Linked DNA regions of Lonchura striata. The protein of the gene in region 1 interacts with the protein of each later gene in a pairwise test. Links are inferred from orthologs where the notes say so. Each region holds a gene or a part of one and is shown in the gene's direction. Other genes may lie near its edges.

Evidence for each region.
Region 2: the proteins of HABP4 (region 1) and RACK1 interact in a two-hybrid assay, tested with the Homo sapiens proteins (2 studies listed by BioGRID). The link is inferred for Lonchura striata from reciprocal best matches to the Homo sapiens genes HABP4 and RACK1.

What each region holds. Positions count from the first base shown.
Region 1 is NC_134642.1:10,457,270-10,464,145, reverse strand, and holds the start of HABP4 (intracellular hyaluronan-binding protein 4), read left to right. Parts: upstream 1-3,874; 5' UTR 3,875-3,913; coding exon 3,914-4,214; intron 4,215-6,876. UniProt on the Homo sapiens protein: Ribosome-binding protein that promotes ribosome hibernation, a process during which ribosomes are stabilized in an inactive state and preserved from proteasomal degradation.
Region 2 is NC_134631.1:305,200-312,200, forward strand, and holds the start of RACK1 (small ribosomal subunit protein RACK1), read left to right. Parts: upstream 1-3,988; 5' UTR 3,989-4,100; coding exon 4,101-4,209; intron 4,210-6,171; coding exon 6,172-6,343; intron 6,344-7,001. Other genes in the region: uncharacterized protein LOC144247616, read right to left, coding at 418-438, 1,751-1,760. UniProt on the Homo sapiens protein: Scaffolding protein involved in the recruitment, assembly and/or regulation of a variety of signaling molecules. Interacts with a wide variety of proteins and plays a role in many cellular processes.

The sequences.
Region 1 (6,876 bases):
CAGAAGGTCAGTGCCTGTTCCTGACTTATTTGTTGGGGCTCCAACTATTTGCTGCCAGCCAGGGCACAATGTCCAGCTCACACACAAAGCTCTTAGCATTAGGTGTACTCCTCTATAAGCATGTCCATCTTTAGTGATGCAGCTCTTTTTTGGCTCAAGACTTCAGGTAGTCAATTTTGCTTAGTAGAATTGTGTTGCTGGATGCAATAGCTAGATCCACAGTGTTACTCTCTTTACCTGTTCTGGTGCCCTGTCCCAGAATGGCACCTTGAGCCATGTGATTATGGATATTCTCAGTTCAGAGAGAAAATGAGAGGTTTCTGCCAGGCTAGGCCTGGGAAAGAGTTTCAAAGGAATGTAAATAATTCTCTGTCTCTCTTGTTGTTCACATTGTTTATAGATGTGTTCTACCACTGTGTGTCATTCAGCACATGCCAGTGATGTGAGATGTTTTTACTTTAAGACCAATGAAATTGGTCTGCACGATGTTCCCTATAGAAAGAGCAGTGTATTTTAAATAAATCAGTTTGCTTCTTGTCTTCTGAATTGCAGTCTTTTTGTTCCCGTCCTGCCTCAACAGCGACATGTGATGTGTTCAGGATGTGTTTCCCTCAGGCAGGAGAGCTGTGGCACTAGAAAATGAAATGTCCAGGGATAAGAATGTGTCTGTACGAAAGGTCAAGAACGGGATGACCCTTGCTGGTGATTAGGTGCTTAGATGCAAAGGTCAGAGAAACACCAATCACCATTCTCAATTCTGTCTCTTGTAATTAGGCACTTTTGCACCTTTAAAAAAAAAAGGAAAAAAATAAGCAAGGGCTGTTTTGGTAAAGATGCCATATCCCATATCTACACCTGCTAGGCAACATTGTGTAGGGTGCTGTTCTGTGTGAAAAATCCACTTGTGGGGAGAATGTGGAGCAGCCACTTAGGTAGGCAGCCCTCATCTTCACTTAACATGAGTCATCTGTTGTCAGAAAGGTTATGCCTTGTACTACAACTATGAGATTTAGTCTTGCAAATATGTAATCATGCTGAAGCCATCACTATTAATTTTTGGTATAAAATTCCAGACAGAGCATTTGGTTACACTTTGACAGTAAAATTCAGGTTTTCCTTCTTTCTCCATTGTTTGTGTAAGTATGTAACTCGACAATCACACACTGATTGCACATAGCGAAAAGCTGTGAAAGGAATGAGAGGGAGTTTTTACAAACAAACTGTGGGCCTGCTGTTAGATAGAGCCAGGTACTGATAGGTGAAAGAAGCAATAGTAGAAACCATAAATTCCGGAGGACTGTTACTCACCCAAGGCCACGCTAAATTCCTGGAGTTAGAGAAAAAGAACAGAGAAACAAAGAAAAGGGAAGGGGGGGAGGATTCTCATTAGAAGAGGGTCTGTATTAGGTGATTTGGGAAGTCTGTACCTCTCAGGTACCTAAGACAATAGGGAAAGAGAGAAGGAAATGGGGCTGAGGAATTAGGATAAAAAGGAGGATGCATCCCCCAGCAATTCTCCTTTTATTCTTGAAAAAGCTATGGGACTCCATAGCTGGAGTAAAAACCTCTGGCATTTTGGATTAATTTTCCTGACAGCTGCAAGCAAAAAAGGGATTGAAAAGTACTTTCATTTGTCATGCAAGACTTTTAATCAGATTGGAGGTTGGAATCTCTTACAGAAGTTTTTTTTTTTGATTGACAACTCAGAACATCAGAAAATTAAGGATTTTTCTAAATATTTACATTCATTTTAGGAATCAAAATTATACATATAAAGACAATATATATTTATAGCAAACACTGGTTTTGGCTGTCGTTGTGGAATCTCTCTGAGCAGTCTTTTTTTTCTCCTTTGAGTCTTCACAAAAAAAGGCCCATGGAACACCAAATCTCTAATCTTACTGCTGAAATATATCTGAATTCCTCATAGTCATCCTTCTCCAAAGACGCTGTGACCTTCAAAGTACCTATTAAAGCTGCAAGGACATTATAGTCAGTAATAGCACTGACCAGTGATGGTTGTCTGTTATCTTTCATATACAGCATAACCTTGATTCAAACTTGTAGAATATTGAAATAAAAATATCTCTAAAATTTCTAAAAAACGTTCTGGATACAATGTGTGCTGAGGAAATCTAGTGTAGATGCTGCAATTGATACCAAAATGCTCCAAAGAATCTGCAAATATTTGGTGATATTTTTAATATGCTGTAGTAATGTGATGTTGTTAATGTCTTTCTCCAGATTAGTACAGGACAACATACCTTTCCAGTTCCTTCTTCACAGTAAAAAAACAGGAAATTTAATCCTTCTAAAAAATAAACCAACAATTCAGAGGAAAGGACAGTTGATTAAGCGAACACTTCTTATAAAGTATTTTATTCCTTTATCATATTATTGAAAATTTCTTCATGAATTTTTCTTAATTATGGATAGCTACATTTTACAATATAAGAACTGTGCAGGAATAATGATATTTTTGCTTTGTTGACTTATATTTTTCTGCTTTTGATTTGAAACATTTCAGAGCCTGAGAGATTTGACTCCCACTACCAGGATTTTGTAAAGATCTTTGCAGGCAGATAATTGCCTGAAGTTACTGTCATTATTTCCATGCAAAACAGTTTGTGATCTCTTGAATGAAATTGAAACTTGAAAGGGCACTAAGACCAATTAAATTAGTTTTCTTCTGCAGTAAGCATGCCTGCAAAAGGGGGTCTACATGAGAGCCAGGAGAGATGCAATGATTATATTCAAAGCTTGGAATAATCTGTAGAGGATACACCTTATTTTGTTTTACAGTGGTGTCCACAGACTTATCAGCATCCAAAAACGAAGAGAGAACAGGGCTGTCTTTAATCCTGCCTTTCAAAACATATCAAGAATTTTGATACAGTTTCAACTTACCGTAGTAAGGATAAAATTAATTTCAAAAGAAGGTGGTATATACAGTGAAGCTATCATGATAGAGGAAATGTTAGTTTCACATGAACGACTGGAATAAAGACAGCCTCATCACAAAAATCAAGACTGCAATCGCCATTCTTTGGGCAATTGTGGCTGAAGGGCTAAGATTTTGTTGTCACTGTGGCTGATAAAAGAGAGAAGCGCCCGCCCGAAATATCAGTGCCCAGAGAAATATCATTTTTCCTCTGCGGAAAAATGCCTTGATGAGTCTCCTGGCATGTCACTATTAGCCATATTTATTGAGACATTTTTATTTTGAGGCAGCAAAAGTAGGCCCAGAACAGTGAGCAGCTGACAAGGCGTGCTGCACTAAAACCCGTCACCACGGCGGCTTAGTGACGGATGGGAGCCCCATCCCGGGTTTCGCTGGACGGAGCGGGGCTACCCTGGGGAACTCCCAGCGCAGGGAGCGCCTCTTTCGTTGGTGTCACTTGTCAGAGGATGCAGGTTGTACCAAAAGACCCGCGGCGACACCGCTGTGCCGGCGCCACCCTCGAACCGCGGCCGCCACACAGCGTCCCCGCACGGGGCGCAGCCGGGGCGGCGGGCCGCGCACCAGACGAATAACAGAGCGGCGCACCGCATTGGTCAGCGGGTGTGATTGACAGCTGCGACCCTGCGCGGTAATTGGCCGCAGCTGGGCACAAGGGGCGGGGTGAGGCGGAGCTCGGCGCCGGGATTGGCCGATCTGTTGCTCGCGGTCGCGCGTGCCGGCTGTGGGCGGGCTCGGCCGCGCTTAAAGGCGGCGGGTGCGCTGTGGGAGCGCTGGGGAGCTCCATTGGCTGCAGCGGCCTGGCCGGGGCGGGGCCGCGCCAAGGTGCGGCGGGGCCGGGCCGGCGCTGCCGCCGCTCTCGCCCGGCGGTGCGTGCTGTCGTTTCGGCCTCGCGCCGAAACAACCTCGGGGGGCAGGGGGGCGGTCGGGGGAGGCGAGGCGGCCGCGCGGATTATGACGGGGCTGCTGGGCAGCCCGGTGGGTGCCGTCATGCAGGAGAGCATCGCGTGCTCCGTCGCCAATCGCTTCTGCTACCTCCTGGACGACGCGTCGGACCCGTTCGACGTCCTGCGCGAGGTCGAGCGCCTCCGGCAGCAGCGGAAGAAGCGCGGCGAGGCGGCGGCCGGCGGCGGGAGAGCCGCGCCCGGCGGCCGGGCGGGCGGCGGCAGGAGGGAGCCGCAGAAGGAGCCCCAGAGGGAGCGCAAGCAGCCGGGGAGCTGCCCCGCAGCCTCCCCCGCGGCCCCGCCGCAGACAGGTAGGCGGCGGGGCCGCGGCGGCCGGTTCGGGAGGGAGGGAAGCGGTCCCGGCGCCGCGGTGCCCGGTGCGGGTCCCACGGCGTGGGGGCTCCGCGCTTCGCCGACCTCTCGCAGCCCTGGCGTGGCGGGGGAGCGCTGTCACAGCAGGGATGAAAAATCCTGGCTCGTGGTGGGGTCATTGTGGTGAACGCACATGGAGGTCCCCTCAGAGAAAGCAGTGATGCTTGGGCACGGTCCCGACGCGGTATTGCCGAGCACTCTCTGCCCATAGGGCCTTTGAAGATGTTAATGAAAACTTTAGCAATATCCCCAAGAGACAAGTGCAAGAGTGTCAACTTCGCTGCGGCATCGGCAGCTTTCAAGTTGGTTTAGCAGCCCTGTTGCTGCCTTTCGTTGCTTGTCACCCTGGACAGTATCCTTCAGTGTCTGAAGTTTCCAGGCATGATTTCTTGGTACCTGTGAGTTTTCTGGCCTTTCAGTGTCTCCAGGGATCTGCACTGATTTTGCCTTGATTTGAGCCTTTGAATAAATCTTATTTCCTGGGGTAACTCTTCAGCAGGTGCTCAGGAATGGTCAGCTGATAGGTTCTGATGTGTAATACTGCTTGAGAAAAGAGGGAGTCAGTTGGCTTTGTACTAAAATGTCTGTCACAGTCCTCTTCGCAGCTGGAGGCTTTGTGGGCTATAGCTTCTTGCATTTGGAGCTGATTGCTAGACTTAGTCTGGTTGTTACTACTCACCCGGTATTGAGCTTCAGGTTGCTGGATTCAGTATCAAAAGTATCTTAGAACTGGTGGATTGTTTCCAAATATTGAGAATCTTTTGCGCAGAAGATGTGCAAGGGGTTTACATCTCAATCCTTTTGAGTTGTAAATTCTTATTCTCCTGCAGGAAGCAATGAAGCCTAACACATAATCTATTGTTGTTTTCTTCCTCTAGTAAAAGCTCCCGTTAAACTCACAGTAATTGTACTGTGTGTTTTAATGCCCTAGAAAAAGGTCTTTGAATCGAGGTTGTTGCTCCAAGTTATTGCCGGTGCTGCCAATTCTGTTGCTTAGGCTTAGAGTCCTACACTTTAAACAGCAGCACTTACTTGATTCATTTTTAGCAGTTTGTGGAGCAGAGAATCTTTCAATGCTAAATATGTGCTAGGTAGGGAGCACCTTTGTAAAGGAAGATATCAACAAGTAATCACTGTCTTTGTGGGCAGTTATATGAAATTAATCTTTCTCAGATTTCTCTGCAGTTGTGTGACTTAGTCTCCTGAAACTAATGTTTAGACTATAACAGCTTATTTTATTTAAGGTTGCTTTACTGTGGTTGTCAATGGCAGTTGAAGGAGTCTGTTTAGTGAACAGCAAAATCTCAAATTCTCATGAAAGAGTCCTTGAACAAGAACTGGCTGGTTATCAGTAACTTACCACGGTAGGATGTGATGCGTGCTATCACGTGAGCATGGTAGTATGTGAAGGCCATCCTTTACCTCCTGCTTGCTGATAAGTGTCTCCATTCTTGGCAATACACAGTGGCCCTGTGATGTGTCTTTGATTATTCTCTGCAAGCTTGGTGTTAAGAAATCTCTTTTCTCATACAGAGACAACAGGCGTGTGCACCTTGTTTTAATTTCCTGATAATTTGAAATGGAGAAAAGACTGCTGACTATAGTACCCTTAGTGAAAGGACATTAAGATCTATTTAAAGAAGAGTTATTTCTCTTCTATATTTAAAAACACACTTTCTTCTTTAAACATAGCATCTCTTTGGGATTTTGTGTGTTTGTCTTGGGCTTGTTAGGAAGTAAAGACTATAAAAGTACAGTGCCTAAGATGTTAAACCAGTGTGGATAGTCAAGACGTGGTCTTGACTGTGTGTTCTTCCTTTGAATGTGCTGTCTTAGCCAAGTCTGCTCTGAATGGCAGAGAACCCTCTGAGTTAGGGTAAATACACAAGTGATGATGTAGCTGATAAATGTTAAGTAAGTGGCATGTTGAGAGAAAAATCTTGCATTTTTTTGGAAGAGAGTGGGTCAGCTCTCTATTGGGGCTGTACAAAGTTAGTTTGTTACATAGGGTTCAAAACTTCTGTATTTTATATAAGATCTCATCTTGACAGTTGAGAATGACCAACCTCTAGGGAACGTCCTTGTACTCTCACAGTTTGTCATGAAGCTTATAATAACAGATGCATTGTTAGAAGAGTGCACCTCTCCTTAGGGAAATATATTGATTAAAATTACTAAGCTGTTAAACTAATTTCTAAACTTTTAGTAAAAAAAAAAAAAAAAAAAGAAAAACAACATACCAAACTTAAGACTTTGTTTCTAGATTTTCTTTGTGATTTCCCTTCTCCGATTATGGGCATAACTACCTCTAACTTAATTCTACTTATTAGTAATTAAACACCAAAAAATAGCATCTAGACCGATCTGAACAGCAGAATGAGATTCTGGTAGTATTACAGTTGAAATGATAGAACTCACTGTGTTGTACTAGTGTTCTTGGAATCATCACAGAACAAGGTTGAAACGCTATGCTGGAAGGATGGTCTGGTCCAACCTTTTCTAGGAAAGGCAGCCTTCAAGACCCCTCATCTGCTGTCTTGTCCAGTTACAGTTTGAAAGCCTAGTTTGATGGGGGCTTAGCCCTGAGAAGGTTGCTTCAAC
Region 2 (7,001 bases), on another chromosome or scaffold:
GGAATTTTTTTTAACACAAAAATTTGGATTTTTTAACCCAAAATATTGATTTTTTTAAACCGAAAATTTGGATTTTTTTAACCTCAAAATTTTGAGGTCTTTTTTACCCAAAATTTGGATTTTTTACCCCAAAATTCGGATTTTTTTTTGACCAAAAATTTGGAGTTTTCAACCCAAAATTGGGATTTTTTTTTAAACTGAAAATTTGGATTTTTTAACCCAAAAATTGGAATTTTTTTAACCCAAAAATTTCAAATTTTTTACCCAAAAATTTGGATTTTTTTTACCCCAAAATTTGAATTTTTTACCATAAAACTTGGATTTTTTTTTTACCCAAAATCAGGATTTTTTTACCCCAAAATTTGTAATTTTATTTACCCAAAATTTGCATTTTTTCCCCCAAAAATGGGCACTCACTGATTTTCCGCTCGCGTTCCTCTGGGAAAAAAGGGGAAAAAAAGAAAGAAAATTCAAATTATTTCCAAATTTTTTCCTTTTTTGGGATTTTTTGGGTGGTCTCGGAGCATCCGGGCCCAAAATTGGGATTTTTCCCCCCAAAATCGGCCGCAAAAATGAAGATTTTTGGTTGGACTGACTCAGTTTGGTGCTGGAGTCACCTGAAAAACAGAAAATAAATGAAATTAATTAAATTAAACTAATTAAAATTAAACTTACATTAAATTAAATTAAATTAGAATAAATTAAATTAAATTAAAATTATATTAATTATATTAATTATATTATATTATATTATATTATATTATATTATATTATATTATATTATATTATATTATATTATATTATATTATATTATATTATATTAATAATCTGGGGAAATAAAGAATATTAGAAATAATGAATAAGAAAATTAGTAAATAATAAATGTTCAAATTAATAAATAGCAAAAATATAAAATTATAAATATTAAAAATAGTAAATATAAAAATAAGAAATAATCAATATTAAAAAATAATTAATAGCAAAATAAGTAATAAACATTAAAATTAATAAATAGCAAAATTAATAAATAATAAATACTGAAATTAGTAAATAGCAAAATTAGTAATTAATAAATATTAAAATTAATATTTAAAATGTCAAAGAGTAAGTGGGGAAAAATTTGGGGAAAAATTTGGGGAAAAATGGGGAAAAAATGGGAATAAAATTGGGGAATAAATTTGGGAAAAAATGGGAATAAAATGGGGATAAAGTGGGAAAAATTGGGAATAAATTTGAAATAAAAGAGCAAAAAAAAAAGGGAATAAAACCACAAATTTCACTCACCCAGAGCGGAATTTTCTCCTGGAAAAGAGGAAAAAAAGGGAAAATTTGGGTCAGTTTGGGAAAATTCTGGGAATTGAATCAAATTTTCCTTAAATTTGGATTTTTTGGGTGAAAAATAGGGAAAATTCACCCCAAAATTTGAGGAAAATTTGGGATTTTTTGGGTGAAAAATGTGGGAAAATTCACCCAAAAATTGAGGAAAATTTGGAATTTTTGAGGTGAAAAATTTGGGAAAATTCACCTAAAATTTTAGGAAAATTTGGAATTTTTGAGGTGAAAAATTTGGGAAAATTCACCTAAAATTTTAGGAAAATTTGGAATTTTTGAGGTGAAAAATTTGGGAAAATTCACCTAAAATTATAGGAAAATTTGGAATTTTTGGGGTGAAAAATTTGGGGGAAAATTTGGAATTTTTGGGGTGAAAAATTTGGGAAAAATTTGGGAAAAATTTGGATTTTTTACCCACCCGGTTCCATCTCGTCGCTGCTCCTGGAAAGGAAAAAAATTCGGAATTTTGGGGGGGGTGGAAGAATTTTCCAGGAAAATTTGGGAATTTTGGGTATATTTAAATAAAATAAAATAAAATAAAATAAAATAAAATAAAATAAAATAAAATAAAATAAAATCTTTTCGGGCAGAATTGGGGCAAAATTTTTGGGATTTTTGGGGAGATTTTTGGGGGTTTTTTGGGGGGAATTTTTGGGATTTTGGGGCAAAATTTTGGGGATTTTTGGGGAGATTTTTGGGGCTTTTGGGTATTTTTGGAATTTTGGGGGGATTTTGGGGGGTTTGGGGGATTTTTTGGGATTTCGAGGGGATTTTGGGGGTTTTTTGGGGGGGAATTTTGGGATTTTGGGGGAATTTGGGGGTTTTTGGGGATTTTGGGGTTTTGGGGAGGGTTTTTGACATTTTTGGGGGGATTTTTAGTGGTTTTGGGGAATTTTTGGGTTTTTTGGGGGGAATTTTTTGGATTTTGGGGGATTTGGGGGGGGTTGGGAATATTTTGGGGTTTTGGGGGGATTTTAGGGATTTCGGGGGGGTTTTGGGGGGATTTTTTTGGATTTTGGGTTTTTTGGGGGATTTTGGGGTTCACTCACTGACCGGGACAATTTTGGGGTTCAATTTTGGGGTGCCCGGGGCGAATTTTGGGGTTTTTGGCCGAATTTTGGGATTTTGGGGGATTTTTGGGATTTCGGGGGGGATTTTGGGGGGATTTTTTAGGATTTTGGGATTTTTGGGGGATTTTGGGGGTCACTCACTGACCGGGACAATTTTGGGGTTCAATTTTGGGGTGCCCGGGGCGAATTTTGGGGTTTTTGGCCGAATTTTGGGATTTTGGGGGATTTTTGGGATTTTGGCGGGATTTTGGGGGGATTTTTTTGGATTTTGGGGTTTTTGGGGGATTTTGGGGGTCACTCACTGACCGGGACAATTTTGGGGTTCAATTTTGGGGTGCCCGGGGCAGATTTTGGGATTTTTTGGCCGAATTTTGGGATTTTGGGGGATTTTTGGGATTTCGGGGGGACTTTTGGGGATTTTGGGGCAGATTTTGGGGGAATTTTTTGGGATTTTGGGGTCCCCCGGGGATTTTGGGGGTCACTCACCAGCCGGGACAATTTTGGGGTTCAATTTTGGGGTGCCCGGGGCAGATTTTGGGAATTTTTTGGTGGGAATTTTTGGGGGTTTTGGGGGATTTTTTGGTATTTCGGGGGGGATTTTTGGGGGGTTTTGGGGGGGATTTTTTGGATTTTTGGGGTTTTTGGGGGATTTTGGGGGTCACTCACCGGCCGGGTCAATTTTGGGGTTCGATTTTGGGGCGGATTTTGGGGCCCCGCAGGCCCCGAGGCCGCCGAGCCCGGCTGGAACCGGAGCCGATCCCAAAATTAACCCGGGGGGCGGGGCCCAAAATTTGGGGGGGCGGGGCCCAAAATTTGGGGGGGCGGGACCCAAAATTTGGGGGGAAGGGGCCCAAAATTTGGTGGGGAGGGGCCCAAAATTTGGTGGGGAGGGGCCCAAAATTTGGGGGGGAGGGCCCAAAAATTGGGGGGGTGGGGCTCAAAATTTGGGGGGGTGGGGCCCAAAATTTGGGGAGGGGAGGAGCCCAAAATTTGTGGGTCCCTGTAATTTTTTGGGGGTCCCTGGATTTTTTGGGGCTCCCTGTAATTTTTGGGGGGGTCCCTGGGATTTTTGGGGGTCCCTGAGATTTTTTGGGGGTCCCTGGGATCATTTTTTGGAGCTCCCTGGGATCTTTTGGGGGTCCCTGAGATATTTTGGGGCTCCATGGGATTTTTTGGGGCTCTCTGGATTTTTTGGGGGTCACTTGGATATTTTGGGGCTCCATGAGATATTTTGGGACTCCATGGGATATTTTGGGACTCCCTCTGATTTTTTGGGGGTCCCTGGATTTTTTGGGGCTCCCTGGGATCATTTTTGGGGCTCCCTGTGATTTTTTGGGGGATCCCTGAGATATTTTGGGGCTCCATGGGATTTTTTGGGGCTCCCTGGATTTTTGGGGTCTCTGAGATATTTTGGGGCTCCCTGTGATTTTTTGGGCCTCCTGGAACCTTCCCCGAGACCCCCCCCAAATCCCCGCCTCCATTTTCCGTACACCAAAATGGCGCCGCCTCCTTACTCCCCCCATACCGGCCGCCATCATTCCGTACGGAACTGACGTCACTTCCGCTTCTCCCGGAAGCGGCGCCTCCTCTTTCTCCCCGCCGCCGCCTGAGGGGACGGAGGGCTGCGCGCCGAGGCCGCCGCGAACCCGCCGCGAATCCGCCGCCATCCTCGGCGCCGCCGCCTCCATCGGCGCCGCCATGACGGAGCAGATGACCCTGCGGGGGACCCTGAAGGGCCACAATGGTTGGGTGACGCAGATCGCCACCACGCCGCAGTTCCCGGACATGATCCTGTCGGCGTCGCGCGGTGAGGGCGGCCATGGGGATGGAGGGGGGGGGGGGCACCCACGGGGGAAATGGGGCTGGGGGCACCTACAGGGGAAATGGGGGGGACCCATGGGTGAAATGGGGCTGGGGGCACCCATAGGGGAAATGGGGGGGACCCATGGGTGAAATGGGGCTGGGGGCACCCATAGGGGAAATTGGGGGGTGGGAGATGGGGGGGAAATGGGGCTGGGGGCACCCACGGGGGAAATGGGGCTGGGGGCACCCATAGGGGAATTGGGGCTGGGGGCACCCATAGGGGAAATGGGGCTGGGGGCACCTACAGGGGAAATGGGGCTGGGGGCACCTGCAGGGGAAATGGGGCTGGGGGCACCCATAGGTGAAATGGGGCTGGGGGCACCCATGGGTGAAATGGGTGGGAGATGGGGTGAAATAGGGCTGGGGGCACCCACGGGGGAAATGGGGCTGGGGGCACCCATGGGGGAAATGGGGCTGGGGGCACCCACGGGGGAAATGGGGCTGGGGGCACCCACGGGGGAAATGGGGCTGGGGGCACCTACAGGGGAAATGGGGCTGGGGGCACCCACGGGGGAAATGGGGCTGGGGGCACCCACGGGGGAAATGGGTGGGAGATGGGGGAAATGGGGCTGGGGGCACCTACAGGGGAAATGGGGCTGGGGGCACCCACGGGGGAAATGGGGCTGGGGGCACCCATGGGTGAAATGGGGCTGGGGGCACCCACGGGGGAAATGGGGCTGGGGGCACCCATAGGGGAAATGGGGCTGGGGGCACCCATAGGGGAAATGGGGCTGGGGGCACCCACGGGGGAAATGGGGCTGGGGGCACCCATAGGGGAAATGGGGCTGGGGGCACCCATGGGTGAAATGGGGCTGGGGGCACCTACAGGGGAAATGGGGCTGGGGGCACCCACGGGGGAAATGGGGCTGGGGGCACCCACGGGGGAAATGGGTGGGAGATGGGGGAAATGGGGCTGGGGGCACCTACAGGGGAAATGGGGCTGGGGGCACCCACGGGGGAAATGGGGCTGGGGGCACCCATGGGTGAAATGGGGCTGGGGGCACCCACGGGGGAAATGGGGCTGGGGGCACCCATAGGGGAAATGGGGCTGGGGGCACCCATAGGGGAAATGGGGCTGGGGGCACCCACGGGGGAAATGGGGCTGGGGGCACCCATAGGGGAAATGGGGCTGGGGGCACCCATGGGTGAAATGGGGCTGGGGGCACCTACAGGGGAAATGGGGCTGGGGGCACCTACAGGGGAAATGGGGCTGGGGGCACCCATGGGTGAAATGGGTGGGAGATGGGGTGAAATGGGGCTGGGGGCACCCACGGGGGAAATGGGGCTGGGGGCACCCATGGGTGAAATGGGTGGGAGATGGGGTGAAATGGGGCTGGGGGCACCCATGGGGGAAATGGGGCTGGGGGCACCCATAGGGGAAATGGGGCTGGGGGCACCCACGGGTGGGGGACCCCAAACCCACCAAGAATGGCCCAAACCCACCAAGAATGACCCAAACCCACCAAGAATGATCCAAACCCACCAAGAACCACCTCAAACCTACCAAGGATGACCCAAAACCACCCCAAACCCACCAAAAATGACCCAAACCCACCAAAGATGACCCCAAACCCACCAAGAAGCACCTAAAACCCACCAAGAATGACCCAAACCCACCAAGAATGACCCAAACCCACCAAGAACGACCTCAAACCCACCAAGAATGACCCAAACCCACCAAGAATGACCCAAACCCACCAAGAACCACCTCAAACCCACCAAGAATGACCCAAATCCAACAAGGATGACCCAAAACCACCCCAAACCCACCAAGAGCCACCCCAAACCCACCAAGAATGACCCAAACCCACCAAGAACCACCCCAAACCCACCAAGGATGACCCCAAACCCACCAAGAACCAAGGATATCCATGGAGGTGACACCCCCCGCTTGTCCCCACCCCAGACAAGACCATCATCATGTGGAAGCTGACGCGCGATGAGACCAACTACGGGATCCCGCAGCGGGCGCTGCGCGGCCACTCGCACTTCGTCAGCGACGTGGTCATCTCCTCGGACGGGCAGTTTGCGCTCTCAGGCTCCTGGGACGGGACCCTGCGCCTCTGGGACCTCACCACGTCCGTTTTGGGGTTCCACCTAAAATTTGGGGGTCTTTAGAGAAGGTTTTGGGGTCCCACCAGGGTCAGAATTTGGGTAAATCCCGAATTTTTGGGGTGGGATTGAGAAGGTTTGAGGTGTCCACCATCCTTTCTTCTCTGGGATCTCACTACGTGGGTTTTGGGGTCCCACCAGGGTCAGAATTTGGGTAAATCCTGAATTTTTGGGGTGGGATTGAGAAGGTTTGAGGTGTCCACCATCCTTTCTTCTCTGGGATCTCACCACGTGGGTTTTGGGGTCCCACCAGGGTCAGGTTGTCCCAAAAGTTGGGGAAATTTGGGATTTTTGGGGTGGGATTGAGGTGTCCACCATCCTTTCTCCTCTGGGATCTCACCACGTGGGTTTTGGGGTCCCACCAGGGGTTTTGGGTCTCACCAGCGTCAGATCATCCCAAAATTTGGGTAAATCCCAAATTTTTGGGTCGGAATTTGGGATTTTCGAGCTGCTCGCCCCTCTCCCGATGATTAGACCTGACGTCTCCATCCGATCCCACGGGATCTGACGACACGTCCTGCAATGATGATGGGAGAACATTTCGGGGGAGCAGCCCAATTTTGGGCAAAATTTTGGGGTGTCCCAGACAAGAAGACCATCATTTATGGAACCGAACTCATCCCA